Astyanax mexicanus: one gene and its partners. The main gene of each other region encodes a partner of the protein of the gene in region 3 in a complex. Links are inferred from orthologs where the notes say so. Each region holds a gene or a part of one and is shown on either strand. Other genes may lie near its edges.

Region 1 (6,986 bases), on a different chromosome or scaffold from region 3:
TCTCATGCTACCACGAGTGTGAAAGCACCACCAACATTCAAAACTGACCAAAACATCAGCCAGACAGCATAGGTTCTGAGAAGTGGTCTGTGGTCCCCACCTGCAGAACCACTCCTTTATTGAGTATGTCTTGCTAATTGCCAATAATTTCCACCTGTTGTCTATTCCATTTGCACAACAGCAGGTGAAATTGATTGTCAATCAGTGTTGCTTCCTAAGTGGACAGTTTAATTTCACAGAAGTTTGATTTACTTGGAGTTATATTGTGTTTGAGTGTTCCCTTTATTTTTTTGAGCAGTGTATAACAAAAATAAAAATCTGCAGCAAAATGAACGTGCAGAATATTAAGTGCATACTATTATATATCAATATTATATATATTTTTAATATATGCAAACATAAACAAATAAAACAAATAAAAGTAAATACTCTAATTAAGAAGCAGTGTTCACAGTTCTGTTTAATAACCTCTTTTTCTGTTTCAGATAAATCCAGTTTCCAGTTTTATAAGACACACTTAATAATAAATCTGATAATAAATAATTATCAGATACCGGAATTTTCATGACAAACCGCACACGCTCCTAACAATGTATCTGAACCAAAATAAAAAGAGAGAAATGATGCATCAGTAAACGCTTAGGGGTTGAGCTCTTACTCCGGAGGCGGGGGTGGTAGACCTCTCGGTCGGGTCTCCGGGGGCGACGCGGGGCGGTGGTGTGTCTGCGCTTCTGTTGCTCTTTAGCCTGTTTCACCTCCTTATCATAATCATCCCTTTAAAAACACACAAACATTACAACCTGTAAGTGAGGCAGTGTTGAGGTGAGGCAGTGTTAGTGAGTCAGTGTTAGTGAGTCAGTGTTAGTGAGTCAGTGTTACAGTGAGGCAGTCTTAGGGTGAGGCAGTCTTAGGGTGAGGCAGTGTTAGGGTGAGGCAGTGTTAGGGTGAGGCAGTGTTAGGGTGAGGCAGTGTAGGGTGAGGCAGTGTAGGGTGAGGCAGTGTAGGGTGAGGCAGTGTAGGGTGAGGCAATTGTTGGGGTGAGGCAATTGTTGGGGTGAGGCAATTGTTGGGGTGAGGCAATTGTTGGGGTGAGGCAATTGTTGGGGTGAGGCAATTGTTGGGTGAGTCATTGTTAGGGTGAGGCAGTGTTAGTGAGTCATTGTTAGTGTGAGGCAGTGTTGGGGTGAGGCAGTGAAGGGTGAAGCAGTGAAGGGTGAAGCAGTGTTGGGTGAAGCAGTGTTGGGTGAAGCAGTGTTGGGTGAGGCAGTGTTGGGTGAGGCAGTGTTGGGTGAGGCAGTGTAGGGTGAGGCAGTGTAGGGTGAGGCAGTGTAGGGTGAGTCATTGTTAGGGTGAGGCAGTGTTAGGGTGAGGCAGTGTTAGGGTGAGGCAGTGTTAGGGTGAGGCAGTGTTAGGGTGAGGCAGTGTTAGGGTGAGGCATTGTTAGGGTGAGGCATTGTTAGGGTGAGGCAGCGTTGGGTGAGGCAGCGTTGGGTGAGGCAGCGTTGGGTGAGTCATTGTTAGGGTGAGGCAGTGTTGGGTGAGGCAGTGTAGGGTGAGGCAGCGTTGGGTGAGGCAGCGTTGGGTGAGGCAGCGTTGGGTGAGTCATTGTTAGGGTGAGGCAGTGTTGGGGTGAGGCAGTGTAGGGTGAGGCAGTGTAGGGTGAGGCAGTGTAGGGTGAGGCAGTGTTGGGGTGAGGCAGTGTAGGGTGAGGCAGTGTTGGGGTGAGGCAGTGTTTGGGTGAGGCAGTGTAGGGTGAGGCAGTGTAGGGTGAGGCAGTGTTGGGTGAGGCAGTGTTGGGTGAGGCAGTGTTGGGGTGAGGCAGTGTTGGGGTGAGGCAGTGTTGGGGTGAGGCAGTGTTGGGGTGAGGCAGTGTAGGGTGAGGCAGTGTAGGGTGAGGCAGTGTAGGGTGAGGCAGTGTAGGGTGAGTCATTGTTAGGGTGAGGCAGTGTAGGGTGAGGCAGTGTAGGGTGAGGCAGTGTTGGGTGAGGCAGTGTAGGGTGAGGCAGTGTAGGGTGAGGCAGTGTTGGGGTGAGGCAGTGTTGGGGTGAGGCAGTGTTAGTATCAGCAGCTGTTTAAAGCTCTCAGTACAGGATCCTACGGTGGCCGAGAAAGCCCAGCGCAGTGCAAATTGAAAAGCGCTGCAAAAGCACAAAACACATCAATCAAAATTACAACACAGGCGCAGCAAATAGAAAAACGCGCTGCAAATAGAACCACAACACAACGGAAGTGAGTCACAACACAACGGAATTTTCCCGGGAGACCTTAAAAGATGCTGTACCAGCTGTATACAAAGGACAGTAAGTGGCAAACAAGCTTCTGAAAAGTAAGTTATGTTTATTACCTGTGATTACCACGGTTGTGTGCATATTATTAAAAGTTCTGCTTCACAAAACGCCTTGTTTGCCACTTATTGTCCTTTGTACACATAGTGAAGTCCGAGACGTTACTGAAGACGCAGCTTAGCTGGTACAGTATCTTTTAAGGTCCCCCGGGAAAATTCCGTTGTGTTGTGACTCACTTCCGTTGTGTTGTGGTTCTATTTGCAGCGCGTTTTTCTAGTTGCAGCGCGTGTTTCTAGTTGCTGCGCCTGTGTTGTAATTTTGATGGATGTGTTTTGTGCTTTTGCAGCGCTTTTCAAGTTGCACTGCGTTGGGCTTTCTCGGCCACCGTAAGGATCAGTAGCGGCGGCTCGCTGCGCTGCGCTAGCGGACTGTTAGCCTGGCAGCTCCGACTCTTACCTCGCGATCTGATTCCTCCGGATGTGATGCAGGAACCCGTGGCTCATGTCTAAGCGGCCCCCGGGTTTATATTTGAGAGCTTCCCCCTCAGCATCCTGCAGAACCTCCATAATTTAAAGATTAAGCGGAGAACACGCGCGCATTCCCCCCACACACAGACCTCTCACTGCCTGCATCCTCTTCTTCCTGTAGCGCTGAGGCGGACTGAGCTCTGTTCAGCGCTGCTGCCGCCTACTGTTCAACAGCCCCCCCCCCCCCCCCCGCATACTCAGCGCCCTCTAACTATATCTATATATATATATCTATATATATATATATATATATATATATATATATATATATATATATATATATATATATATATATATATATATATGAATTATTCATTATATATAAATTATTAAAACAATGTTATATTAAACAAACACTATAGTATAGTAACCTGAGGGCTAGATTGCGCAGGTGGTGCGCATTAGTCTTAGTCTTTTTCTGCTATAAGGCTGATAACAAAACTCATTTACTAAATAATAACAGTGAAGGAGGCGTCTTACCCTCTGCGTTCATTTTTTATCTCGCCTAATCTGAAAACAATGTGAATGAACCTTCCAGATCTCGAATCATATAAATAGACACTTTAGGACTTGTGGAAAGAATTACCTCAAAAGACTAATTTATCATTTTTAGAACAGTAGAACAGCAACAACATAACAGCAGCACAGTGTGAGCAACAGGTCAAGAGAAACACAAGCGTTTGAACATTACAAAGAATAAGTTAAGGGGTGCATAAAGGATGCAAAAAAGTATGTGGGTGATGGTTTTAACATTTAAAATGAACATTGGAATGCAATCCAATGGTTCAGTTTAAAATGTGAAACTCATATATTATATAGATGTATTACACATCCATAAGTGTTTATTATTATTTTTTTTATTGTTGATGATTATGGCTTACTGCCAATGAAACACCCAAAATCAGTGTTTCATAAAATTTAATATTACATAAAACCAATTGGTACTATATGACAATATTGCTTTTAAGAAAATATTTATAGTATTCACATGGGAGAAAAGTTATGTTATTTTTGAATAAAAGGCTGTGCGGTAAAAGATACGTATTTGTATATATTGGATTTTGCTGCCCACTTTTTAAATAAATCAGTTTTAACTGTATCAGAATCAGGATTATTTTTACAGTGCTGATCGGTGGGTTGTTTCCGGTGGGGTGTGAGAGTAGTTCCGGCGGGGCGCGCGGGGGCTGCTGGGAGTTTGTGTTTAGTTTGAGCAGTCCGTGCTCTGACCCCTCATAGGATTTAAACTCCGCGGGCTTAATTAAACAGCGCTATGGCTGGAGTGAAGCGGGAGCGGGATGCTGAGGATGAGGAGGAGGAAGGTAAAGTAGAGGAACCTCTAAAGGCAGAACCGCTTTACTTTACAAACAGTAGCAGCAGAACACACCGCCTAGCTGAGCTAACCGCTAACCGGCAGGCTAACCAGCAGTGCACGCGCCTCCTGCACACCTTCTGAGCGGCTTTAATCTAATTCAGTTTTTTTATTAAAACCAACATCAGTGAGACTGATATTACAGGATTTTCCTTTTACTGTTAAATCCAGAATTACAGATAATCCACCAACATCTTCATTTAGCTATAAAGCTAGTTCTCTAGCTAACATAGCTAATTAGCTAGCTAACTAGTTGGTCACCAAAGCATGTAAACAAGTGGCTGTTACTTTTCTACTGATCCTAAACTAAAGCATGTAACCTAGGTTAGCTAGCGTTAGTCAACTAACTAACTAGCCTTTCACCAGCATATGTGTGTAAAACATCTGAATATCTGAAGCTTTGCTGGGGACATGGTGGGGGTGGTGGTGGACATTGTGGTGGGGTGGTGGTGTTTGTGGGAGTAATTTTTTTTCATAAGAATTTTATCAATGCCTGATTTTCAGAGGTCCGGGGGAAAGTTCCAGACAGAAGGAGCCGCCACTGTCCATACCTTGACACAATCAACAGGTTGGGATAGAGGATGTATTAATTGGCATAAATTGTGTTAATTTCTATATGAAGTAAAAGGAGGGTACGGTTCTAAGCAATTTCGTTTTTCTTTATTATTTAGGAGCGTTTTGGATTTTGACTTCGAAAAGCTGTGCTCAATCTCTCTCTCTCACATAAATGTTTATGCCTGTCTGATCTGTGGAAAGTATTTCCAAGGTAAGTCATTTTTTTTTTGAGACAATGAAGTTTTTGTTATGGAGCGTAAAATACAGAACGTTTTGTTGTTAATCTTTGTAAATTTAGTGTGAAATGAGTGTTTGGCCCATTTCAGTTTTAATTCTTCATCTTGCCATGTCTGAGGTGGATGGTTTGGCTGCTGGTTTATAGAAAAGCCTACAAGGCACAGTGGTCAAAACAGCAGCATCTAACTCTTTAACGCAAGTGTCAATTAAAGCCACTTGCAGTGGTCCAAAACTCGGATCATTAGATGTAAAATAGTGTGTGTGTGTGTGTGTGTGTGTGTGTGTGTGTGTTATAGGGAGGGGCCTGAAGTCCCATGCATACACCCACAGTGTTCAGTTCACACATCATGTCTTTCTAAATCTGCATACACTGAAGTTCTACTGTCTACCAGACAATTACGAGATCATTGATTCATCGCTGGAGGACATCACAGTGAGTTGAGATTAAGGGTGCTTTCACATCTACCTTGTTTGGTTCTGAACATTGGACTATTCAGTTTGGACAGAAGCAAAATAGCAGATGCTTCAAAGCCTACTCCAACAGACCAGTATTTGCTTTGACAAAAAGAGGTTTGGATCAACTAAACATAAACCTGAATCTGGTTCAGGCAGCAACAGAAGAAGGAAAAAAACACCTGAAATCTGACTCCCCTTCACGTGTGGGTGCGTCATACAGCAGTATGGGCACAAGAGTTTATGCTGGTGATTCCTGTATCTGTAGACTAACCTTTATTTATAGACAGAAATAAAAGGAAGCTGAAGGAAATCTGTGATAATTTTGCTGTGTGACACACCTTCATGTGAAAGAGTCAAATTGATTATTTCTCTTTTTGATATCACACTGACACACTCTAGCAAGCCTTACCACCTAATTACTTCTTTAAAAAAAAAAACCTACATATATTAACCATTAACAATCTGGAAATCCGAGATATACATATATAGTTCGATACATTAATCTGTTGCAAGGTTGCAAAAAAGTAGTAAATTATTTTTCTTTATTTAATTTTTTAAAGCTGTCTTCAAAAGAGGAGTCCCATTAACTAAAATTCTAGTTCATGTGACTCCTCTTTTGAAGACAGCTTTAAAATATTAAATAAAGAAAAATAATTACTGATTTTGTCAATTGTAAGAAATGTAAGCTTAAAGATGGAATTATGCTTAATGACCATGTTAGCGTAGAGGGCGTGTATCGCATACCTGTACTGTGGCTTTTTTGGCATAATTTTCTCAGTAATTGTTATTTTTGTTTAGTTTATTTCTGTATATTTCTATCAGAATATTAATGAAGTGTTTCTGTCTTCAGTATGTTCTGAAGCCAACGTTTACCAAACAGCACATCTCCAGTTTGGACAAGCAGGGCAAACTGTACAGGGCTTACGATGGCACAACTTACCTGCCTGGCATTGTGGGACTCAACAACATCAAGGCTAATGACTACGCCAACGTAGTTCTACAGGTATTACCTTCCAATATTCAGTCTTGTTAGCACATCTGAGATGAAGGGTGCCGATCGTTCATTAACATAAATGTTTATTTATTATAATGAAGGTCAAATGTTCAGGTAGTTTTTACTATCAAACACTACTGTAATGTACTGTAGAAGATACCACATGTCTTGGCCCAGTAATGATCAGTTACTTTGCTAGATGTGATTTGAGTACAGTGTCCTCTGGAAGCATTGACAAATGAAGGACAGGAAGGACTTGTTTGTTTACACTGAAAACATTTAGATTTGAGCCTTTTTTGCTTGCATTGCAGTATATTGATTGTCTGAAATATCTATTGCAATGTTACGAAATACATAAATACATTCTATTTCATCAGAAGAAAATTCATTCAACTTTTGTCATATTACTATTGCACATAGATATGTTTATGCAATAAGTTATGTTTTGCACATAAAATCTGCCTCTGGTAGGCACGCCATGGAACGTTAGGTCAGTGCACATTTTCCTTTGTATCAAACTGACAGACACTCACAGTTTCAGACAGTTTCACTAGACTCCTAAA
Region 2 (7,802 bases), on a different chromosome or scaffold from region 3:
TTTAATCATACATCTTCTGTAACAGTTACAGTAAATCTGTTCAAATGGAATATACTGAATGTATGTATTAATATATTTTTATAATATATTATAATACATTTCTTCTTAATAATAAGTCAGGCATCAGGAAGAGTCTTAACTTGAATGGAAACTGAATGTATTTTTTATGACACAGAGCTTCTGGAATGTATGTCATCACTGAATGAATAATTAGACACTTCTAGAAGGAACTTGTACTCAACTGTATATACTTTTAATAGCTCCTCTGTGTGATTTATATGACAAAATCTGAAGCAAATATGATTAAAAGTTAAAGATACTGAAAGCAGATTATAACATGTAAAATCCCCAGTGTTACACTGTTTATTACATGTTTAAAAGCGGGTGTAAAACTGCAGGATGACCTGTAGGCCATAACATTTATCAAGTGGAGACACTAAAAAGTTACGTCCTGTCTTTGACCCACTGGTGACAATTGTGATAGTGATTTTTTTGGGGGGAAAATAATATATTTTTGCATCATAAAACCCTGCATGTATTACAGACGTAGCTAATAATGTCTCTTATGTGTAAAACATTTGTGTGGTATCCTTTAGAGGCTTGTTAAATGCTTTATTCTATAATAAAGTAGCTCTTTCACCTAAACAGAACCTGAATAAAACCTAAATGACTTTCTTTATGTTCTAATTTATTTATTTTATAGGGAACAGAGCTTCTGGAATGAATGTAATCATTGAATGAATAAGAAGAAACTTCTAGAAGGAACTCGTACTCAACTGTATATACGTTTAATAGCTACTCTGTGTGGTTTATCTGACAAAATCTGAAGCAAATATGATGGAAATCTAAAGATACGTTGAAGGAAGGTTATAGCATGTTTATTTTAGAATCTATGTGTCTGCAGATAAAATCTCCAGTGTTACACTGTTGTTACACATTTAAAAAGGGGGGTTGAAACTGCAGCATGACCTGTATACAGGTCAAAAACCTGATATCATGACAGGGCATAACATTTATTCAGTGCTGCCCCGTTTTTGACCCAGTGTTGCTGATAGTGATAGTGATATTTTGGGGGTAAAACTCTTTACAATGAATGCAGTTTCTGAGTGTATGTACTACAAGTCTAGCTAATAATGTCTCTTATGTGTAAAACATTTGTGTGGTATCTTTTAGAGGCTTCTTAAACTGGTTTATTCCTTAATAATGACGCACTTTTACCTGAACAGAACCTAAATTCCTTTTTTATGACACAGAGCTTCTGGAGTGTGTGTTATCATTGAATGAATAATAATATATACATGACTGTATATACTTTTAATAGCTACTTTGTGTGATTTATCTGACAGAATCTGAAGAAAATATGATTAAAAGTTAAAGATACCTTGAAGGCTGGTTATTAACATTTTTTTTAGGATCTACGCATCTGCAGGTAGATAAAATCCCCAGTGCTACACTGTTGTTACACGTTTAAAAAAGGGGGTGTGAAACTGCAACTTGAACTGTAGGTCAAAAACCTGTTATTATGACAGGGCATAACATCTATCAAGTGGGGACACTAAAATGTTATGTCCCGTTTTTGACCCAGTGGTGCTGATAGTGGTTTATTCCTTAATAATGACGCACTTTTACCTGAACAGAACCTAAATTATTTTTTATGACACAGAGCTTCTGGAGTGTATGTTATCATTGAATGAATAATAAGACACGACTGTATATACTTTTAATAGCTACTCTGTGTGGTCTATCTGTCAAATTCTGAAGAAAATATGATTAAAATCTAAAGATAGAGTGAAGGCGGGTTATAGCATGTTTATTTTAGAATCTACCGGTTTATAGGAAGCTAAAATTCTCAGTATTACACCGTTTGTTACACGTTTAAAAAGGGGTTCGAAACTGCAGAATGACCTGAAGGGTGTGTAGCTATATGTATCTATAGGCAGATGGGTTGTTACATTGTTACTTAGTTTGTTACTTTGTATCGTGCACGGCCCGGGGTTTGTTACTTTGTATCGGGTACGGGATTTACTAGTCGGTGACGCAGCTACAATCGCAGACTTGTAAGGCGATGCACGACCGGCCGCACGCGCCCCCTGCTTTATATAACCTGCCTATATTCCGTACAGCCCCCGCGAGCGGCTCCAGAAGAACGGGAGGCGCGCGCAGAACAGATCTAAACCCGTAAACTCCGCTCGGTTACCTTCATTTTGACCTCCGCTGGTTTCCAGTGGGGTCGGAGCTCCTCGATCAGCCGCAGCGCTCCCGGTCTGTAGTCGTGATCGTCTACGCTCACGTTGAGTTTGGGCACGGCGGGAGCGCCCTCCGGTACGTGGATGTAGTTGGTCTCCATGGCGGGGGGTCGCTGGCGGACAGGCGGCGGAGCTGCGGAGGTGAGCGCGCGGGTGTGGAGCTGAAGGGTGTGCGGGTTTGAAAGCGGGTCAGTTTTTAATGCGCCGCGGATCCGCCTCTACTGCTCCCTCCCCGCAGTTACTCAGCGCGCGGTGCATGCCGGATCTGACGAGTCACTGAACTGCGTCAGAGTTCTGGGATTAGGAGCTCATTCAGATTATAAATATAGTTTTTATTCAGTTAGAGAGTGAAGAAGACCCCAGATCTCTCAGCTCTCATCAACTGAATATGTGTCAAGAACTTAATGATCCAAAAAATGTCTGGCTTTCAAATGAAAAATGTATAATTTAAATATACAGCTCTGGAAAAATTTTACCAAATTGAAAACCTCTGGAATATAATCAGGAAAATGGATGATCACAAGCCATCAAACCAAACGGAACTGCTTGAAGCAGTGTGTAAGACTGGTGGAGGAAAACATGCCAAGATTCATGAAAACTTTAATTAAAAACCGGAGTTATTCCACCAAATATTGACTCTTAAAACTTTATGAATATGAACTTGTTTTCTTTGCATTATTTGAGGTCTGCATCTTTTTTGTTATTTCAGCCATTTCTCATTTTCTGCGAATGCTCTACAAGACAATATTTTTATTTGGAATTTGGGAGAAATTAACACTGAAAGCCACTGCTGTAAAAAAAGTAAGAATGGAAGAATGTTTTGTAAGTGGTTGAGACCAAAATAAAAGCATGATGTTTGGAGAAAGGAAAACGCTGTCCAGCGTAAAAAAAACTTATCTTATCTGTGAAACATGGTGTTGGTAGTTTTATGGTTTGGCCCTGCTTTGCTGCATCGTGTCCAGAACAGCTCTCCTTTATTGATGGAACAATAAAGTCTAAATGATATCAAAGAATTCTAAAGGAAACTGTCAGGACATCTGACTATGAACTGAAACTCAAGAGACGATGGGTTATGCTGCGAAACTTTTTTTTCAGTTTGGTTACCAGTAAAGGAAGGACTAAAATAGATTAAAATAGCTGCTGAAATTAGCATTGAGTCGTATGGAAGCCCATTTCCAAAACCTGAAGAAAAAAAAACGTCCTCAACTAAGTCATAATTATGAGTTAGAAAAGTCATAATTATGGGATAGTAAGTCATAATTATGAGATAGTAAGTCATAATTATGAGATAGTAAGTCATAATTATGAGATACTAAGTCATAATTATGAGATAGAAAGTCATAATTATGAGATAAAAAAGTCATAATTATGAGATAGTAAGTCATATTTATGAGATAAAAAGTCATCTCATAATTATGACTTTCTATCTCATAATTATGACTTAGTATCTCATAATTATTATTTTCTATCTCATAATTATGACTTACTATCCCATAATTATGACTTTTCTAACTCATAATTATGACTTAGTTGAGGACGTTTTTTTTTCTTCAGGTGGCGGAAATGGGCTTCCATAGAGTCGAGATTAAAGAAGTGGAAAGACACGCTCACAGACTCAAACTGTCAAACTGATAGTTAACAGGGTTAGCTGGAAGCAATATTCACCAACATCAGCTCTATCATACTAAGTTCAGTCAGAAAAAAGTAAAGGATAAAAACTAATTCTAATCTATATAATATAAGATTGATATTAGCCTGTAGAAAAAATATATATTTACACTGGTTACTTTAATAATTATTTTTTTAAAACTTAAATTTATAAATTGTGTACTTTTATACTTAAAGTAATTTTGAAACCAGTATTTTTACTTGAGTCAAAAGCTTGAGTTATTTTCGATTACGATTTACATTAATTTTATTATTATTTATTTATAATATATGGAAGCCTATTCCCAACACCTAAAAAAACAAAACTTTTTTCTTATTATTGAGATAGTAAGACACTATTTTGAGACACTATCGATAGTAAGTCATTATTTTGAGATACTATCTCATTATTTTGAGATCTCATAATTTTCCAAAAGCAAACACTATCACAGAATAATGACTTGTGTCTCAAAATAATCACTTGCTATTTTAAAATAATGACTTAGTATCTCCAAATAATGAGATAGCAGTTTACTTAATATAAAAGTGAATTTTAGGTGGCGGGAATGAGCTTTCATAATAATTTTATGTTCCAAAATAGGAGCAAACACCAAAATAATCGTGGATAGGAACTGTTGAGGAGGACAGTACTGAAGGAGCACCAAAAGGCAGCACTAATCGCTGCCTGAGTAACATATTCACACTGTTCAATAAGCAAATATTATGTTTTACATGCAATTAAATTAGTATACGATGTGTTGAGTGAATTTATTGATTAATTATCAGTGGGTCTGTGTGCTGAGTGTGTTGTTTCAGCTCGGTTGTGTGTGTGGGTGTGTGTGAGAGTGTGTGTGGAGCGCGGTTTCCTGTCGGTGCCGTTATGTGTGTGAGAGCTCTGCGGCCTCCGGCGCTTTGGGCTCTGGCTGTAGCTGTAGCTGCTGCTGGTGGCACAGCACTTTCAGTGGGTGCGCACCTTCTCGCTGTCGCTCTTTAAAGAGTTAAAGTTCCATCCACAGCGCTGTTCTCCTCGAAACAAACCCTCTATATTTATATATTTACCGGGCTAGAGGTCTTGTGTGTGTGTGTGTGTGTGTGTGCGTGTCCGTTCATTTGCTGTGCCTGTACGAGGTAGGTTCATACACTACACCGGTAAGCAGAGCTAGCTGAACTGCGCTAAGCTAGCTTAGCTAATGGTAGCTAACTACTGTGGCTACTGTATACTGCGTGGGTAAGCTAGGTTAACTAGCTAGCTTATCTACGTTATTCTGTGTAACGTTACTGTACATTAGCGTTATATGTGTTAGCTAGCTAGCTTAGCGAATGTGACTACTGTATACTGCGTGGGTTAACTAGGCTAACTAGCTAGCTTATCTACGTTACTGTGTCTACTATATACTTAATATAATGTGTTAGCTTAGCTTACCTACAGTCTTTGCTGTGTGCTGAGGGTGTTCGCTATAGCTAGCTAACTGTATATTAACGCTATAATTGTCAACTAGCTACATAGCTTAGTTACTGTTGCTTTAGGAGTTGTACTGAGTGTGTTAGCTACCTAACTATCTAGCTTAAGCATGTTAGTGTGGGTTAACTAGGCTAGCTAATTAGCTTAGCTAATGAGTCAACTGTATATTTCGTGGGTTAGCTAGGGTAACAAAGTTAGCTAGTTAACTAGCTTAGCTACGTTAGTGTGTCTAATGTATATTAACGCTATATTTGTTAGCTAGCTAACTAGCTTAGCTAAAGAGTCTACTGTATATTACGTGGGTTTTCTAGGCTAGCTAATTAGCTTAGCTAATCAGTCAACTGTATATTACGTTGGTTAGATATCTAGCTAGTTAACTAGCTTAGCTTCTGTGGCTAATGAAGTTATACTGAGTGTGTGTTAACTAGCAAACCTAACAAGCTTAGCTACGTTACTTTGTCTCTTGTTTATTAACGCTATATGAGTTAGCTAGCTAAGTAGCTTAGCTAATGAGTCTACTGTATATTACGTGAGTTACCTAGCTAGTTAACTAGCTCCGCTACTGTGGCTACAGTAGTTACACTGTGTGTGTTAGGTTAGTTAGTTAGCTAGCTAGCTAAGTAAATTAACCTAGCTTAGCTGCTGTGGCAACTGTATACTGCAGGTGTTACCTAGATAGTTAGCTAGCTAGTTTAGCCAGCCCACTGTTTAGATCTATCTAAATTACGTTTGTTTTTGGCACTGTTTTTCAATAAATATGTATGATATTGTTTTTAGCGTTTTAACTAAGTTTTTGGTAAGTCTTTGGTAATGTTTTCTCTTATCCAGCTCAGTCCAGAATCAGGCAACATTAGCTGTTTGTTAGTTAGTATTTTAGTGACTAACCAGTTCTACTCTTTAATTTCTCCAGGTTTATCTGTGTTAAAGAATGGCTATGAGGCAGACTCCGCTCACCTGCTCAGGCCACACCAGACCTGTTGTGGATCTGGCCTTCAGTGGAATCACTCCTTATGGTTATTTCCTAATAAGTGCTTGTAAAGGTAGGTTTGGATTGTTCAAGTGAACAATTTTAATTCAAAAGAAGTGAAAAGAATAGTGGTGTATGTGTGTCACAGACCCTTTAACCCATAAGTACCAAAATAAAAATTGAATCAGATAATTCAGTGAGCAGCTCATTAATGTTTGTTTCTGACTGTGGGAATATGACTGTCGAACAACCATTAAGGATTAGATTTTCTGTAGAAACTTGCGTCATCATCAGATGTTAAAGAAACATGCTTTAAGAAAACACATTAACACACTGTCCTGTAAAGTATGTAAAGGACAGATTGCTGTAAGGAACATTACACATCTTTTAACCCCAAAAAGCCAATGGTGATGTATATATGTCACATACCCTTTAAAAGTTGTGTAAAGATCTTTACAGCACTACAACACTGTCCTTCACTTTCTGCACAGGGCAGCCAGAGTGTGAATCTGTATTCGTTCATCTCATCACCATTTTCCTATTTACAGGATGTATGTGTACTAAGTTTAGAGATAAGTTCTGGAGATAAAATAGCTCCTTCTTTTAAAATGTAGTATTGGGTTCTAATGGTCTGTTCCAACCATTTAACCATTTAAAATTCGTCTTAATGATAGTTAGTAATTTGTTGTCATTTATGTTTCATCATGAGTTTAACCTTAAAATATTTACAGTCATGATCCCACTAGTCTGGGCTCTTATGGGTTAACTTGTAATGATAAGAGAATTCTGTAATCTCTGTGTCTGTTTACCTTGTGCCTTTTCCCAGTATTCGTTATTTGTTTGGTCTTTGCAGATGGCAAACCGATGTTGCGCCAGGGGGACACAGGGGACTGGATTGGGACGTTCTTGGGTCACAAAGGTGCTGTTTGGGGGGCCACCTTAAATAAAGAAGCCACTAAGGCGGCTACTGCTGCTGCCGATTTCTCAGCGTAAGTGAATTGTGGCGTATTTATGCTTTTTTCTAAATTGACCACGAAGGGACTGGAAGATATTTATATTATTATAGTGGGTTATGCCCTTGCAAGTGCCATTGCATGAGCGGCATCTGTGTCTGGTAACTAAGTTGTGTATTTTGTCATCTTGTCTTACAGAAAGGTGTGGGATGCAGTCACTGGAGACGAGGTCCTCACCCTGGCACACAAGCACATTGTTAAATCTGTTAACTTCACGCAGGTAACGCCCAAATTGAGATAAAGAAATACAATAGGAATTGGAACATTATTTTGCTACTTCTAGGAAACACATACACAGTACACCTATACACAGGTACTTAGCACAGCATTGTGTACATGGTCAATTGTTTGGAAGCTTATTTTACATTTTAAGTTTAAGTTTTTACATTTAGTTTGGATTTTATATATATAGTTACATATCACTGTGTATAGCTCTGGATGTAAAATAAGAGACCACTTAAAAATGA
Region 3 (7,862 bases):
AGCATTTATTTACAGAAAATGAGAAATGGCTGAAATAACAATAAAAGATGCAGAGCTTTCAGACCTCAAATAATGCAAAGAAAACAAGTTCATATTCATAAAGTTTTAAGAGTTCAGAAATCAATATTTGGTGGAATAACCCTGATTTTTAATCACAGTTTTCATGCATCTTGGCATCATGCTCTCCTCCAACAGTCTTACACACTGCTTTTGGATAACTTTATGCCACTCCAGGTGCAAAAAATCAAGCAGTTCAGTTTGGTTTGATGGCTTGTGATCATCCATCTTCTTTTGATTATATTTCAGAGGTTTTCAATTTGGTAAAATCAAAGAAACTCATACTGTTTAAATGTTCTCTTATTTTTATCTAGAGCTTTATATGACAGCTCTGGAATGCATCTGTTTTGTAAATTTAATGAGAAAATATTACTTTGAGCTTTCAGTTGTTTATTTGTTAGCATGCTTTATCCATTTATCCATTCTACAACCACCTTTGATTATGTGTTTGAATTAGTTTGATTAATCTAACTGAAATATAAGAATAATTCAATTCATAATCAATTTGGATTGCATTCAGACAAACCCAAGAAACTCACTGAAATCCCAGCAGTGCAGTGATACTGATATCCAGGATGAGGAACTCTACACCTCCTGCTGTCACTGTATATATTACTTTATTGATCCCTGAGGGGAAGCTTTCCTGGCTGCTGCTTGGTGAACTCACACCTGTGTACAGGTAGACAGGTATGGTCAAGTGTGTGATAAAGTGTGTAGAAAGAGATCTCATACAGTTTAAAATCCAGTGTGAATTCAGCTGAGCTCATTCTGGATATTCATTCATAACCTTATTAGAACTTAATTCTGAATATGAATGTAATTAGAAAAGTAATACACACTCATACTGGACATCAGTGTTTTTACAACTTCATACTTGATGTTAATGTTATTAAAGTTTTGGATAAGAATGCCATTAGCATGCTATCATTCTGGTTATTAATGTAATAACTACTTAATACTGGGTATTAATATTATAACTTAATTTTGAATATTAATGCTATTAGAACTTCATTCTGAATATAAACATAATTAGAACTTCATACTGGATATTAATATTATTATAACTTAATTCTGGATATTAATGCTATTACAACTTAATTCTGGATATTAATGCTATTACAACTTCATTCTGGATATTAATGCTAATAGAACTTCATTCTGGATATTAACATAATTAGAACTTCATACTGGATATTAATATTACTATAACTTCATTCTGGATATAAATGCTATTAGAACTTCATTCTGGATATTAATATTACTATAACTTCATTCTGGATATAAATGCTATTAGAACTTCATTCTGGATATTAACATAATTAGAACTTCATACTGGATATTAATATTACTATAACTTCATTCTGGATATAAATGCTATTAGAACTTCATTCTGGATATTAACATAATTAGAACTTCATACTGGATATTAATATTACTATAACTTCATTCTGGATATAAATGCTATTAGAACTTCATTCTGGATATTAACATAATTAGAACTTCATACTGGATATTAATATTACTATAACTTCATTCTGGATATAAATGCTATTAGAACTTCATTCTGGATGTTAACATAATTATAATTTTATACTGCATAGTTATGCTATTAGACTGGATTTACTAGATATCATTTTATTATTATAGCATTATTCTGAATATTATTGTTATTAGAACTTAATGCCAGATACTATGTCATTACAATTACAATGTGTCATTGCAAACATATTATGAATATTAAGGTTAGATGGATTGTATATTAAATATTGGTATTAAAGGACCATTAAGGATTAAATTTTTGAAGTAACTCATAACATGATTAGGATGTATCATCAGATATTAAGGAACCATGCTGAGTTAAAGTACCGACAGCTCTTATCAGCAGAGCTTTAGTCAGTATTTTCTTATTTGAACTGTGTGGTATGTAACGGTAATACATTTCCACATCTCGGATTGCCAGGTACAGAACACAACCGCACAAAAACAGCCATTTCACACACTTGCTTTCATTTACTACAGATTGTTCCTTTAAGGTTATTATAACTTCTTACTGGATATCGCTGTTATAAACATGTCAATCAAACAAAGTGTGTTCCACCTGTCTATGTTCAGGGCTCCTGAAAGAGGCAGGGCCTGCCCAAAGGAATCCTTAATGACAGATGGAATGGAGTGCCCCCTGCTGGAGAAGCCTCCATTCAGCTACAGCGCCCTGATCGTGATGGCGCTCGCCCACAGCCCCCGCCGCCAGCTTACACTCAGCGGCATCTACGACTTCATTGTGTCGCGGTTTCCGTACTACAGCAGGAAGGGGCGGGGCTGGCAGAACTCCATCCGCCACAACCTGAGCCTCAACAAGTGCTTCGTCCGGGTGCCACGCCCACAAGACGACCCGGGCAAGGGAAGCTACTGGATGATCGACCCGTGCAGTGAGGTGTACATTGGTGGAAGTCCGGGCAAGCTAACACAGTGCCAGCCGGCTAATCGGGCGGATAAGTCTGCAAAGATAGTGAAGTGGAAGGCGGGGCTTGGACTGCCCAGCTCCTTTTATTGGCCCATGGCATCATTCCTGGCACTGCAGCAGCCAGTGTCTGCCCACCAGCAGGGTCACAGATGGGCAGGAACCAGATCCGAGGTTGCCGGACTGGGCACTGCATCGTTTGTGCCAACCTCGGTTCCTGCTATGGGTGCTAATGGGGTAATGCCCGGCCAACCTGCCCTGGTGGCAGATTGCTCCAGTGCCAGGAAAGATGCCATACCCTCTGAGGGAACAGCGCACCCTATGGGAATCCTGCAGCAATTCCACACTGACCCCGCCCTTATTCACCCTGCATACACGTATCATCCCAGCATGACCAGCTCGTATTGGCACATTTGTATTTAAATTAAATTTGTATGTAAATAAATCTTGTTCATTATTTCATATTATTACTATATTGTGTTCTGATTTACATTCTTCTTCTTAATATTATTATCATAACTGTTCTGCTGGATTTTTAATTGCGTAGCATTTTCAAGGTCCAAGGTTTGATCAACATCATGGCAACTATCTTAAATACAATAGCAACCACCTTGCCACAATGTAGTAGTTATCTAGACTCCACCTTGTAATACTGTAGCAACCACCTGGGATATCAAAGCAACCAGCTAGCAACCACATAGGAATACCAATGCAACAGCCTGGGATATAATACCAACCACTAAGCAATAACTTAAAACAATCTTGAAAAAAATCTTCAAAACCTGAGCAACCACCTTGCTACAAGGTAGCCCCCATGTAGAGCCCATTTATCCAAATCCTAGCAACCACCTGGGATACAATTGCAACCACTAAGCAACATCACGACAACTGACTAACATACCATGCCAACCACCTTGTCACAATGTAGCACCCATCTTATCAACACCATATCAACCACCTGGTCTACTATAGCAAACAGCTATAGTATGCAGTATAGTAGCTTTGCATGCCAAAGCAACCATTTGGGATAACATAGCAACTGCCTAGCAACCACCATGCAACATTATGGCAAATGACTTGAATACCATACCAACCACTTTGTCACAATGTGGCATCTAGAGCCCACTATAACATCAATACTATAACACATTTTGGAACTGCTAAACAAACATCTAGCAACCACATTGCAATATGGTATTGTCTAAAATACCATAGCAACCCCCTTGCCACATTAGAACACCAATAGAACACACTGTGATACTATAGCATCAATTAACAACCACTTATGAAGAACACAGTACACTTTGAAAGTTATTGTTGTTAGCCTGAATATTACAAAATGCTATCTCGTTTGGTCTAAACGGTTTATGTAATGCATGCCTGAAATATTGTGAGTAAATGCTTATCATTCTTAAAAGTTATATTTTGACTAATTGCATGGATTTTCCAATATATAACTATACACACATACTATAACTTCAAATCTAATGGTAATGTATTTTTGTTGTGTTTATATATTTGTTGGTGTATAATATATTTATAAACAAACTAAAAAAACCTGGACTAAAACATATTTTTAGTTTTGCTTTTATTTGTTTTTTTTTGTTGTTTTTTTTACAAAAACAAAATAATGTACTGTAAAACTATTTTGCATTTGTTTGATGGTCATGTATGTGAAATAAATGTCTTTGTGCATTTGTCTGATTAAATTCCTGTTTTTTCTAAACTGCAGATGTGTGCAGATTTTCACTCTATAAAATGTGTGGAATAAGAGGTAGGATTAACAAGTGATTAACTCTTCTACCGAGCAGCTCCATCCAAGCAGCTTGCGTTCATTGTGGCATTGTTTCAACAAGCTTCTGCAATGTCACAATTTATTTCAGTCCAGTGTTGCATTATTTTTTCACCAAGATCTTACATTGATGATGGGAGCGTCTGACCACTTCACAAAGCCTTCTCCAGCACATCCCAAAGATTCTCAATGAGGTTAAGGACTGAACTATCCAAATGTGCAAATTATGATCTCATTCTCCCTAATTTATTCATTCATTCAATCTGGTCTATATTCAGTATATTCAGGTAGTCAGCTGACCTCATTCTTTCAGCACATACTGTTACTAAACACACAAACACACACACACACATATATATATATATAATATATTATAATACATCTCACATATATAATACAACTAAACATGTAAAATAATAACACAAAAAATGTAAAAAGTAAAAATTAATTCCTGACTTTTAAACGTTTATTCGACGACAAACTAAAACATGTTCCGGACTTTTTTTATATTATTTTATTAAATATAATAAAAGTCCCCGGAAGGAAGCGGCGCCATAACGCTGCGTTTTGTGAGCGTGACCCGCGCGCTGAAGCTGAATTACCCACAGAGAGAGAAAGATCCGTTTATACCAGAGTAAATTAGAGTTTACTACCCTAAACATGTGAGTATTTACATTATTAAACGATTTTACTGTTATTTTGGGTGTTTTAGGGAAAGCCTGGCTGGTTACAGGAGTTAAACGTCTGCCGTAGAAACACAAAAGCAGCAGCATGAGATTTAGCAGTTGTAAGTTAGGTGTTAGCTTAGCTACTTAAATATAATAAATTTAATGCCCATAGAGGACCTGAATATTGTGTTATTGCTTTAAAACTACTTTTAAATTAGACTAAAATGTCGATAAGCGTATTTAATAATGTTAAATAATTCTCTAATAATTCTCTTCTGCTGTTTAGTTGTTGTAAATCTTGGCTGGATAGTTATCTTACGTTAGTTATCCAATTTAACTCCTGTATTGTGCTTTTTCGTTCTGAGTTAAATTAAGAATAGTGAGCTGCTTATTAGAATTGTCTGTTCCACCTTAAATGGGGCAGAAGTATCTGTACATTCAGGCTCCTCAGCAATTCTTCTGCACCATTAATGTAGCTAAAATAGACAATTCTTACAAAAAGCCAACTTCAGTTTAAGGGCTGCACCGAAGTATTACTTTTATTTTTATATATATATATATATATATATATATATATATATATATATATATATATATATAACAATAAAAAAAACAATAAACCAAAAAATTATATATATATATATATATATATATATATATATATATATATATATATATATTTTTTTTTTTTTTTTTTTTGATTGATCTGAATATTTTTTGTTGCTTAATCTAAAGTTTTTTTCTGATAATCTAACAATTATTTATTTTGATTAATCTACCATTTAGCCTACGATTGAGTAATCTACTGTTTTTTTTTTTACAGATTAAACTAATGCAATTGTATAGACTGATCTACTATATATACATTTACTTTTAATCTAATACTTGGTTTTATCAGTTAAGCAAACAATTATTTTCTTATTGCTTAATTAACCTTTTTACCTTTATTATTATATAGTTTTTGATTAATTGAAAGATTATTTTTCCCGATTAGTCAATAGTCTAGTGACTAAATTAATGCTTGGTTTTCATAGTTTTGTATTTTGGTTTCAAACATTAAAAAGAAATCCTTCCTATTTGATGTTTAGTTAACTGGTTTAAAGAGCCAATCCGAACCTAGTTTAACTTATTTTAATATTAAACATTAATTTATAGTAATATGTGAGGGGAAAATGAAACTATAATTAAAACTATTTAATTAAACACTGTTTTTTAAGATTAATATACTGTGCTCAAACCAATCAGTGTCCAATTTCCTCCACAAATGCTAATAACATGTTGTGTCTCAGGAGTCTCCTAAACAAACCGAAGTCTGAGATGACTCCTGAGGAGCTTCAGAAGCGAGAGGAGGAAGAGTTCAACACGGGGCCGCTGTCCGTCCTCACACAGTCCGTCAAAAACAACACACAGGTCCTTATTAACTGCCGCAACAACAAGAAACTGCTGGGCAGAGTGAAGGCGTTTGACAGGTACGATACTCTGAACTGTGTGCAGAGGAGAATTTGCTCTTCTATTATATTAATCTCATTCTTGGTGTGAAGCAGGTGCTAGCCAGGCTAAGGTATTTTCTAACACTTTTACAGTGTGTAAGTAATGGTTTGTATGTTTGCATTGTTTGACTGATGGTTTGTACACAGGTGGCTTAATGTATTTTAAACAGGTTTGCAATTAAGTCTGAGTGAGTTTGTTGGAGCTGTGATTTGCTTTTCTATGTTGTCGTGTAAATTAAATGCACAGTATTTGAAACAGGAGCCTTTTTTCACTTTTCTGCTGCACTTAGTATACAACTGAACTGACTGTTTAGTGCAGTAATTGTTACAGCCAACCATTACACTTAACCCTGCCTATAAATGGGGATGTTGTAGCATTTGCACTCACTTTGCTGTCATTTGAGTTGTCCTTCTGAGCTGCAAACCAGATTATATAGATTTACTGTGTACAAATATTTAGCAATAAAAATATTCGAAACAGTACTACCTATCTCTATTAAACTGCTTTTGTGTTCATCATGTGGAATATGTAATTCGAGTACCATTTTGGAGGCCATTTGACCTTTGGTAAGTGTTCTTGAGGGGCTTTAAGGCCATGATGAAGATGATGATGATGATGATGAGTGAACACAAAAACTTGTGGTGGATATGAGATTAAATTAGAGGCTGGCAAAAACTAATCTGATCCAATATTGACATAGATAATTTCTGAGTGTTATTGTTTGCTTCTTCCTGTGGGATAAAATAGATAATTTAATATGTGAAAACTGTATTAAATTTATAAAATTCCATTTAACATTTTGCAGAGTGAGGTTGGTGTGAAATTGTGATTAATTGAGAAGAAACTTAAGGGCTATTAGTTCTTTGCAGTTGCAATAAAGTGATCCAGTTGTTGCCATGACCTAAATGCAAATGGAGTACTAGTGAACTTGCACGTGTCTGAGTTTTATATGGAACATTCATGATGGTAAAATAATAGAAAGTCTAAACATATATCATCTTTATATGGATTCCTCACTCATGTTAATTATTTTTTTTTATTTATAAAAAAACTTGACAGTTTTCGTGTCTGGTTCATTTTACCACCTTTTACCATATTTTTGTGAAACCAATTAATTTTGCACAGAATTTACCAAAAACTGTTTAATTTTCCCTAATATATACACCAACCCAGGCAGATAGACTGGTGTTTGTGATTGTTAGTGGATTACAGTCTCTCTGTGTTTTATTTGCTTTCAGGCATTGTAACATGGTTCTGGAGAATGTGAAGGAGATGTGGACAGAGGTGCCCAAAAGTGGAAAGGGCAAGAAGAAGTCCAAACCAGTCAATAAGGATCGCTACATCTCCAAGATGTTCCTGAGAGGAGACTCGGTCATCGTCGTTCTGAGGAACCCTC
Region 4 (7,028 bases), on a different chromosome or scaffold from region 3:
AGGCCTGGCAGCTGTTGGAGAATCTGTGCAAGAAAAGTATGAGCCCCAAGGTTCACCACAGCCATGTGGCAACATCGGCCCAAAGCAGCCTCAGGGTTCTGGAAGGCAACACGAGCTACGGCTGAGACTGCCGAGCTCAGGCTGCTTTTCGCCTGAGCTCCACCCTGAATGATGCTGTTGAAGGCTAGGTTGAGTTCCCCATCGTAGCCTGCTGTAACAGAGCTCGGAAGAAATCCATGTAAGCCTTTCTTGGACAATTTAAGGATTTCAGAAAGTGCTGCATTCTTGTCAGGCAACAGAAGCTGGGAGAAAATGTCCATAATAATGTTTTTCAGTTTTTTAGACTGATTTACGTCAGTATCACCCTGGCTTTTGGCTATAAGAGTAGAAACCAGGGTCATAACCAGGTCTTTTTGCTGGAATGCACTTTTGTTTCGTTCGAGACAGTTCAACCACTCTGTCTCACTGATGGCTTGGCTTAGTTTGGAGGCATAGAGTTTAGGAAGGTCCTGGAAACCCTGCAGATTACAGTCAAGAATGGCTGTAGCAACACTTGCTATTTCAGTTGAGGGGCTTTCAGACATGCTAAAAGATGAGGAAGCTAGCAAATCAGTCAAAGCCTTTTTCAAATTAATCAAGGCCTGTCCATTTTCATCTAGATTTTCAGATTTCATCCGCTCTAAAGCCTCCAGGACTCTTTGCAGACTGTCTTTGAGACGGAATGCGAGGACACTTGGTTCACTTGGTTGGTTGGACATTGTCAGCAATGCCTTTGCTTCCCATGAGCATATTATTCCAAGTAGCGTCTCCATGGCTTGTGCAAAGGTCATTCCGCACGGCTTGCTCTGAGCTGGAGTTAGTGTGGCCGCAAGATCTCTCTGGGCTTCAAATATGGCCTGAGCAAGTTCAGCTCCCTCCAAGACAGAATTCTTCCTTCGCTGGCTTACTGGGCGAGCAATGTTTTGCAGTTTAACTTCAACTGGGAGTTCCACTGCATGATCTAACATGAAGGAAGTATACAGCATGTCTAGGCAGTTGGAGAGACCAAAATAACACAGTCCAGGAGAGGTTATACACTCTTTTATGCTGTTCAGTGTCTCAAACAAAAGAGAAAATATGCACATGTTGGGTACAGCAGCTTCTGGGTCTGGTTTAAATCGCTTTGAAGCCTGAGATGAGCAGTCTGAGGTGATCTGTCCAAATCGTATGCACTGGGCACTAAAGATTTGGTCCAGATTATCCAGCGATTCCCTCCGTCCCTTCATCATCTCCCACCACACCTCCAGCAAGAACTTCACATCCTCCTCTTTGCAATCACTTGAGACATGTTTCGCTAACCTCTCCAGCTCTCTCCACTGCTCAGCTTCTTGAAAGCACTGGAGCAATTCAACATAAATGCTGTAGAAACCCACTGATTTCACCAACTCAAACATAACCACATGGTTTATATCAGGTAGGCTGCTTTGAACAGAAAACAGTGGATTTTCCTTCCACTGGACATCAATATCCTCTCCTGTCTCCATCTCCAAGATCTTGCTCCATACTATACAGAGAATCCTTTTTCTCCAGTTAAGCTGGTCCTGGTTGCCTCCACACCGCTGTCCACATATCTCGGTGACTGCTTGAACTACTGGCCGCCCAACTCGCTCCCAGTCCTCTTTTCTCAAAGCAGAGAGAGGTGCTGGCTGGCACAACTGATTAGCCAGCAGAAACCCACCCTGCAGGACAGCAGTCTTCTCACAGCTCAGCCAGGATTCTGTAGGAAGAAGACACAAAACAAATTCAATTTAATTTAATGTAGATTAGAATCTGTTCTATATTGTACTCTGATACATTCATGACTGCACATCTCACAATCCAAAATAGGCAGCAGATTTGCAATTTTTACAATATCTAACAGGACGTTATGTGATTACCTAGGTACATTCTATGTTTTCAGTCATCAGTTTTATTGGTTTAAAGCATGAATGATTCAGTGCACTAAAACTTACAGATTTACAAAGAGGCAACATTTGTTTTTTAAATCTATAATACAACCAGTTGCTGCCAATTCTTCTACAATTAGAACAAATAAAGTATTGATTACACAAAATAACAGGCTGGTTCTAATGGTGCCAATCTCACCCACAGTAAATGTAAATGTAAAAAATGTAAATACAGTTTCAATGCTGCAAACATAAATATATTTTAGTCTTAAATGTGTCAACATTTCTTGATGAATGTACCACCAGAAATTATCCAATTTACTTCCTTTGAAAGTCAAAAAGGTTTTGTCTCTCTCCTGTACAGCTGCTGTTTCTGAGATTCATGTTTCACATTGACAATTATTGCTTATTATATAGTAATGATTTCACACGAACAACATATGAGGCGTTTCTTTGATTTTACCAAATTAAAAACCTCTGGAATATAATCAACAGGAAGATGGATGATCACAAGCCATCAAACCAAGCTGAACTGCGTGAATTTTTGCACCAGGAATGGCATAAAATTATCGAAAAGCAGTGTGTAAGACTAGTGGAGGAGAACATGCCGAAAAACCAGGGTTATTCCACCAAGTATGATTATGAACTTGTTTTCTTTGCATTATTTGAGATCTGAAAGCTCTGCATCTTTTTTGTTATTTCAGCCATTTCTTATTTTCTGCAAACCATTGCTCTAAGTGACAGTATTCATGTTTGGAATTTGGGAGAAATGTCCGTAGTTTATATAATAAAACAACAATGTTCATTTTACTTAAATATATACCTATAAATAGCAAAATCAGGGAAACTCATTCAGAAACAGTGGTGTATTTACCTTGGTCCATTTTGTTATTCAGCCGAACAGAACCATGTGTTTATTCTTTAGTCCGTTTGGTCACGTGGTTTTCGTGAAGATAATATCGGTTATTTTAACCTACAGTTTAACAGGATTAAACCGGTTATTTACAGCGAGTGTTTTATTTTATCAGCACGAGGACAGAACTGAAGTTTCCCACCGAGAGCTGTTCGTAGGAGCAGAGAACCTTTAGAAACGAGAATACACACTACAGAATCTCTTCCGGTTCGAGCAAAATCAGAGTTTATTAATGTTTAATATTTTTTTTCTGTGAAATGTACTAATTTTCCCTAAAACAGAACAATACTAAATGTTTCTGCAGTGCAGACATGATTTTCAAGCTTATAAACTCTAGTTATAACACTTTAAACTCATTGTTCTGGCTGTATCTCCAGCATCAGCTCTCTAACCAACCGGTCAGCTCACAGTGTAGCATCAACGCTAGCGTGTTTACTCCCCAAAACCTGTTTAGTGTAGAACAACAGACATATATAGATAATTTTAGTTTGCCCTTTTAGCAACATATTTTGTTGTACCTAAATTATATGAATATCCTAGTTAGTTAAAAATAGCTAATTACTATTTTTTACTAAAGTTTTAACCATTTAGCTCCATTCACCCCTATTCATTTTGGACTCGCTCACTGGCTCCCTCTAGCGATTCACATTCATTTTCTACAAAGGAAGTGGGCATGCTCGCCATAAACCGGCTCTTGCAGGAGCAGAAGCTGGTTTGTGTAGAGAGCATGCACACTTTAAAAAAATGACTGTTAAATCTGGAGTCAGCCCGCGAGCGAGTCAAAAATTAATGGGGGTGAATAAAGCTAAAATGCTAAAAAAATACAGTAAAAAATAGAAATTAAGAACTTGCTCAAGATATTTATTTAATTGTAGAAAGTAGAAAGATGCATTATTAAAAAAAAGTAAAGAAAACTTATCTATATTGTTCAGTTTTTCTTCAGTAAACAGGTTTAGGCAGTTAACACTCTAGCATTACTGTGAACTGACTGGTTGGTTAGAGAGCTGATGCTGAATTACCGTCAGAGCACTGAGTCAAAAAGATTTATAAATAGCGATTTAAACCTAAGAGAAAAACATATGAAGGTTGGGCATCCTATAAGGTAATGTTTCCTTATGTCAGTTTGTTAGACACACTCTTGTTGTTGTGTAATTATATATATGCTAATTAAAAGAATACAATTACTGTATCAGTTACTGTATTTCTCTCCTAAATTGTAATTACAAAAGTTCGGCTGTTGTAGTTAATTTTGCCATACAGTTTATTTAAAGCTATTTAAAGTATTGGGATTGTCTGGTCTCCCTACCCTTGTTAAATTGGGTAAATGCATGTGTAATATTTGAAAGATTTATTGCTAATATAAATAAACTATATTACCTGGCACAGCAGTTAGTCTGCGGTATTATTTTACATAAACTTTGCTACTATAACTTTACCTCAGAAAATGTTTCCCCCTTTATGCAGGTTGAAGTGCATTTACTTCTTACACGTACAGTACTAGTGTGCCTTATATTATATATATATATATATATATATATATATATATATATATATATATATATATGTTTTTTAATTTTATTCATACAGTTGTTTACAGCAGAATACAGAGTTAAACTGGAGTGGATTTAATTTACAGTAATTATGCTTATAAACAATTTACAATACCATTTCACCCAGTAACTCTAACACTGTCTGCACCATCTTTACACTGAGAACACGGTGGTTCCCTGTGTAAAGTGGTTCCATGATTGTTTAATAAAACTGGAGTGGATTTGGAGTGTATTTATGAAGTGGCTCCATAGGAACCCATTCATTTTGGACTTACTTTGGAACGCCCCCTGGTGGTTCAACAAACCCAGACAACATTCAGAAGTGCGTAATCTCTCCTCTCTACTAAAGATTCTCTGGTTAGAGTTGCCAGGTTCGTGGTTTTCCCGACAAATTGGGCTTGTTTATAAATCCAGTCGCGGGTAAAACATTTTTCGGGCTACTTTTAAAAATTACCGCGGCCGCCAAAAAACAAACAAAAAAATCTCCATGTAACCAGAAATTACAAGGCGATTTAAAAAAATGTTAAAGAGGAAAAAAGAGTTTTCAGGAAGGGCAAAAACAGAAAAAAGGAAAAGTCAGTTCTTTCTTTTTTTTAGCTAATTATGTTACTATTAAATGTTCTTGACTGGGATATAAAACTGTTATAAAATAACTGATAAAACATCAATGATGTTACAATATTGTTAATGACTTCAAGATAAATAGCACTACTGATAATAAATCCCGTATAAACAAAATACTAAGTCGTGCACTCATAGTTGTTTTGTCATTTGCTTCAAACGTGTGACAAAGCTAGTTTAAGATTCTGAAGGGCGGGTTTTAGACTGACTTTGGGATGGATATTTTTATTGGACCTGGCAACCCTGTCTCTGGTAGGTAAGCATAAGCTTCCCAGACCAATGAGAGCAGAGATGATAGAGAAATCTGTCGGAAGTTTATAACTGGCGCCCTCACGTGGCCAGACTACTGTACATGTACGTGTGTCATTTGTCCACATTAATTTCATACACATGTATATTCCTCTGTCAGTTTGATATGATAGATTAGTATGAATTAATGAATAAATGATTGAGTGAATAAGTGAGTCTGTCTGTTGGTCAGATCTTCCTGAAGCCCCTGTAGATCAGAGGGGTGGGTGTAGGTGTGGGAGGGACTGGGAGCAGCGCTGAATTGAAAGTGAAAGCAGATCAGTGCAGTAGTTACTTTGTTAATTTGCATGGCGGTTTGTTCGCGCTGGAGGTGTCCAGGTGGTCGTGTTTATCATGAGTGTTGTGTTTGGTGGTCTTTTCCTCGCAGTGTTAGCTTCAGGTAAGCTGAAGATGGCTCGAGGTCTGGTTAATGTATGACGTGTCTCATAAAGACACACAGGTGCATATTGAAGGCATGTTTTTCCAGTAGACTCCAGTGTAAGGTGTATAACAATATTATCCGTTTTGATATACATGTAAATATATACTGTACTGTAGGTGTGATGTGTTTTAGGACATTGTTTTCATGTCTAATGTATGTGTCTATGTTTTAATATAATCTAGTGTTAGAATTACTACTTGGGATAAACTTGCTTTCAGTTTTGATTCTCCAGAAGCAGGGGACTTTCTCAACTGAAAATATAAGGCTAGAGCCCCACACACTAATGGTGACCTTCTGCATGCTTGTTTATATTTAGAGATATTATATTTAGAGGTGGCACTGAGAATCAGTATCAGTTTATATGTGACATGCATGTTGAAATACTATGTTGGCAAAAGTGTTGGGACACCTGCTTGTTCATCATGAATTCTGCTTCTGTTGAAGTAACTAGCTAACATTGCTATGAGGATTTTATTGCATTCAGTTTCGAAAGCAGGATGTTGGATGAATGATCACCACCACATCTCATTCACACCCAACTCCCAAGCTTTTTCCCAAAAGTAATGAGTGGAGCACCATCATTCCAGATAACACATTTCAAACACTGCTCCACAGCTTAAAACTAGGGAATTCATTAATGGGCCATTTGTTGTTGTAACTCTTGCTCTTCCAAATGAAACTTATTTTTTTTTATCTTTTTTTCAACTCTGAATCTAATAGCACATATTTAACTATTCAAAACATGTGCTGGTCAATCTCAGACAGCTTTACTTAATTGTTTACAAGGTTTCTGAGGTGAAGATGGTTTCAAACTCATGTGACATTTTAAAATTATGTTTAAGCGCCGAGTGGTCCAGTGGTCTAAAGCGCTGCCACTATGAGCGGTAGGTCGCAGGTTCGAACCCCAGCTCATGCAGCTTTACCATCAAGCTGCCGGCGCTCAGAGGGAGCACAATTGGCCCTGCTCCCTCCGGCTGGGTAGATGGCGCTCTCTCCCCACATCACTCCTACGGTGATCTCCACAGCACAGGGCGTCTGTGAGCTGATGTATCAGAACCGAGTCACTGCGCTTTCCTCCAATCGCGCTGGCTGCTTGGCAATGCTGCATCAGCAGCAGCTCGAAGAGAAGCGGTGGCTGACTTCACATGTATCGGAGGAAGCATGTGTTAATCTTCACCCTCCTGGGGAGAAAATGGGGGAAAAAAAAGTATGTTTTAAAATAAAATACAATTTTTTTTTTTTTTTTTTTAAGTTGACCGGATGTTCAAGTGTTGAGATTGCCCGTCTAA

The links. The genes of interacting proteins can lie anywhere in the genome.
Region 1: snrpd2 (region 3) and usp39 share a complex: the UniProt entries of both Homo sapiens proteins name them as parts of the U4/U6-U5 tri-snRNP complex. The link is inferred for Astyanax mexicanus from reciprocal best matches to the Homo sapiens genes SNRPD2 and USP39.
Region 2: snrpd2 (region 3) and serine-threonine kinase receptor-associated protein share a complex: the UniProt entries of both Homo sapiens proteins name them as parts of the SMN-Sm complex. The link is inferred for Astyanax mexicanus from reciprocal best matches to the Homo sapiens genes SNRPD2 and STRAP.
Region 4: snrpd2 (region 3) and gemin4 share a complex: the UniProt entries of both Homo sapiens proteins name them as parts of the SMN-Sm complex. The link is inferred for Astyanax mexicanus from reciprocal best matches to the Homo sapiens genes SNRPD2 and GEMIN4.

Annotation. Positions count from the first base shown.
Region 1 is NC_064429.1:1,325,728-1,332,713, forward strand, and holds the start of usp39 (U4/U6.U5 tri-snRNP-associated protein 2), read left to right. Parts: upstream 1-3,972; 5' UTR 3,973-4,082; coding exon 4,083-4,131; intron 4,132-4,685; coding exon 4,686-4,749; intron 4,750-4,852; coding exon 4,853-4,947; intron 4,948-5,269; coding exon 5,270-5,406; intron 5,407-6,279; coding exon 6,280-6,432; intron 6,433-6,986. Other genes in the region: c22h2orf68 (UPF0561 protein C2orf68 homolog), read right to left, coding at 659-774, 2,742-2,851.
Region 2 is NC_064409.1:2,001,712-2,009,513, reverse strand, and holds the start of serine-threonine kinase receptor-associated protein, read left to right. Parts: upstream 1-4,788; 5' UTR 4,789-5,021; intron 5,022-6,265; 5' UTR 6,266-6,283; coding exon 6,284-6,395; intron 6,396-7,175; coding exon 7,176-7,311; intron 7,312-7,473; coding exon 7,474-7,555; intron 7,556-7,802. Other genes in the region: etnk1 (ethanolamine kinase 1), read right to left, coding at 2,198-2,347. UniProt on the Homo sapiens protein: The SMN complex catalyzes the assembly of small nuclear ribonucleoproteins (snRNPs), the building blocks of the spliceosome, and thereby plays an important role in the splicing of cellular pre-mRNAs.
Region 3 is NC_064416.1:9,430,591-9,438,452, reverse strand, and holds the start of snrpd2 (small nuclear ribonucleoprotein Sm D2), read left to right. Parts: upstream 1-4,839; 5' UTR 4,840-4,967; coding exon 4,968-4,969; intron 4,970-6,264; coding exon 6,265-6,444; intron 6,445-7,704; coding exon 7,705-7,862. Other genes in the region: foxg1c (forkhead box protein G1c), read left to right, coding at 2,210-2,938. UniProt on the Homo sapiens protein: Plays a role in pre-mRNA splicing as a core component of the spliceosomal U1, U2, U4 and U5 small nuclear ribonucleoproteins (snRNPs), the building blocks of the spliceosome.
Region 4 is NC_064425.1:16,115,366-16,122,393, reverse strand, and holds the start of gemin4 (gem-associated protein 4), read right to left. Parts: upstream 3,015-7,028; 5' UTR 2,810-3,014; coding exon 2,800-2,809; intron 1,757-2,799; coding exon 1-1,756. Other genes in the region: dhrs13b.2 (tapasin-related protein), read left to right, coding at 5,652-5,697. UniProt on the Homo sapiens protein: The SMN complex catalyzes the assembly of small nuclear ribonucleoproteins (snRNPs), the building blocks of the spliceosome, and thereby plays an important role in the splicing of cellular pre-mRNAs.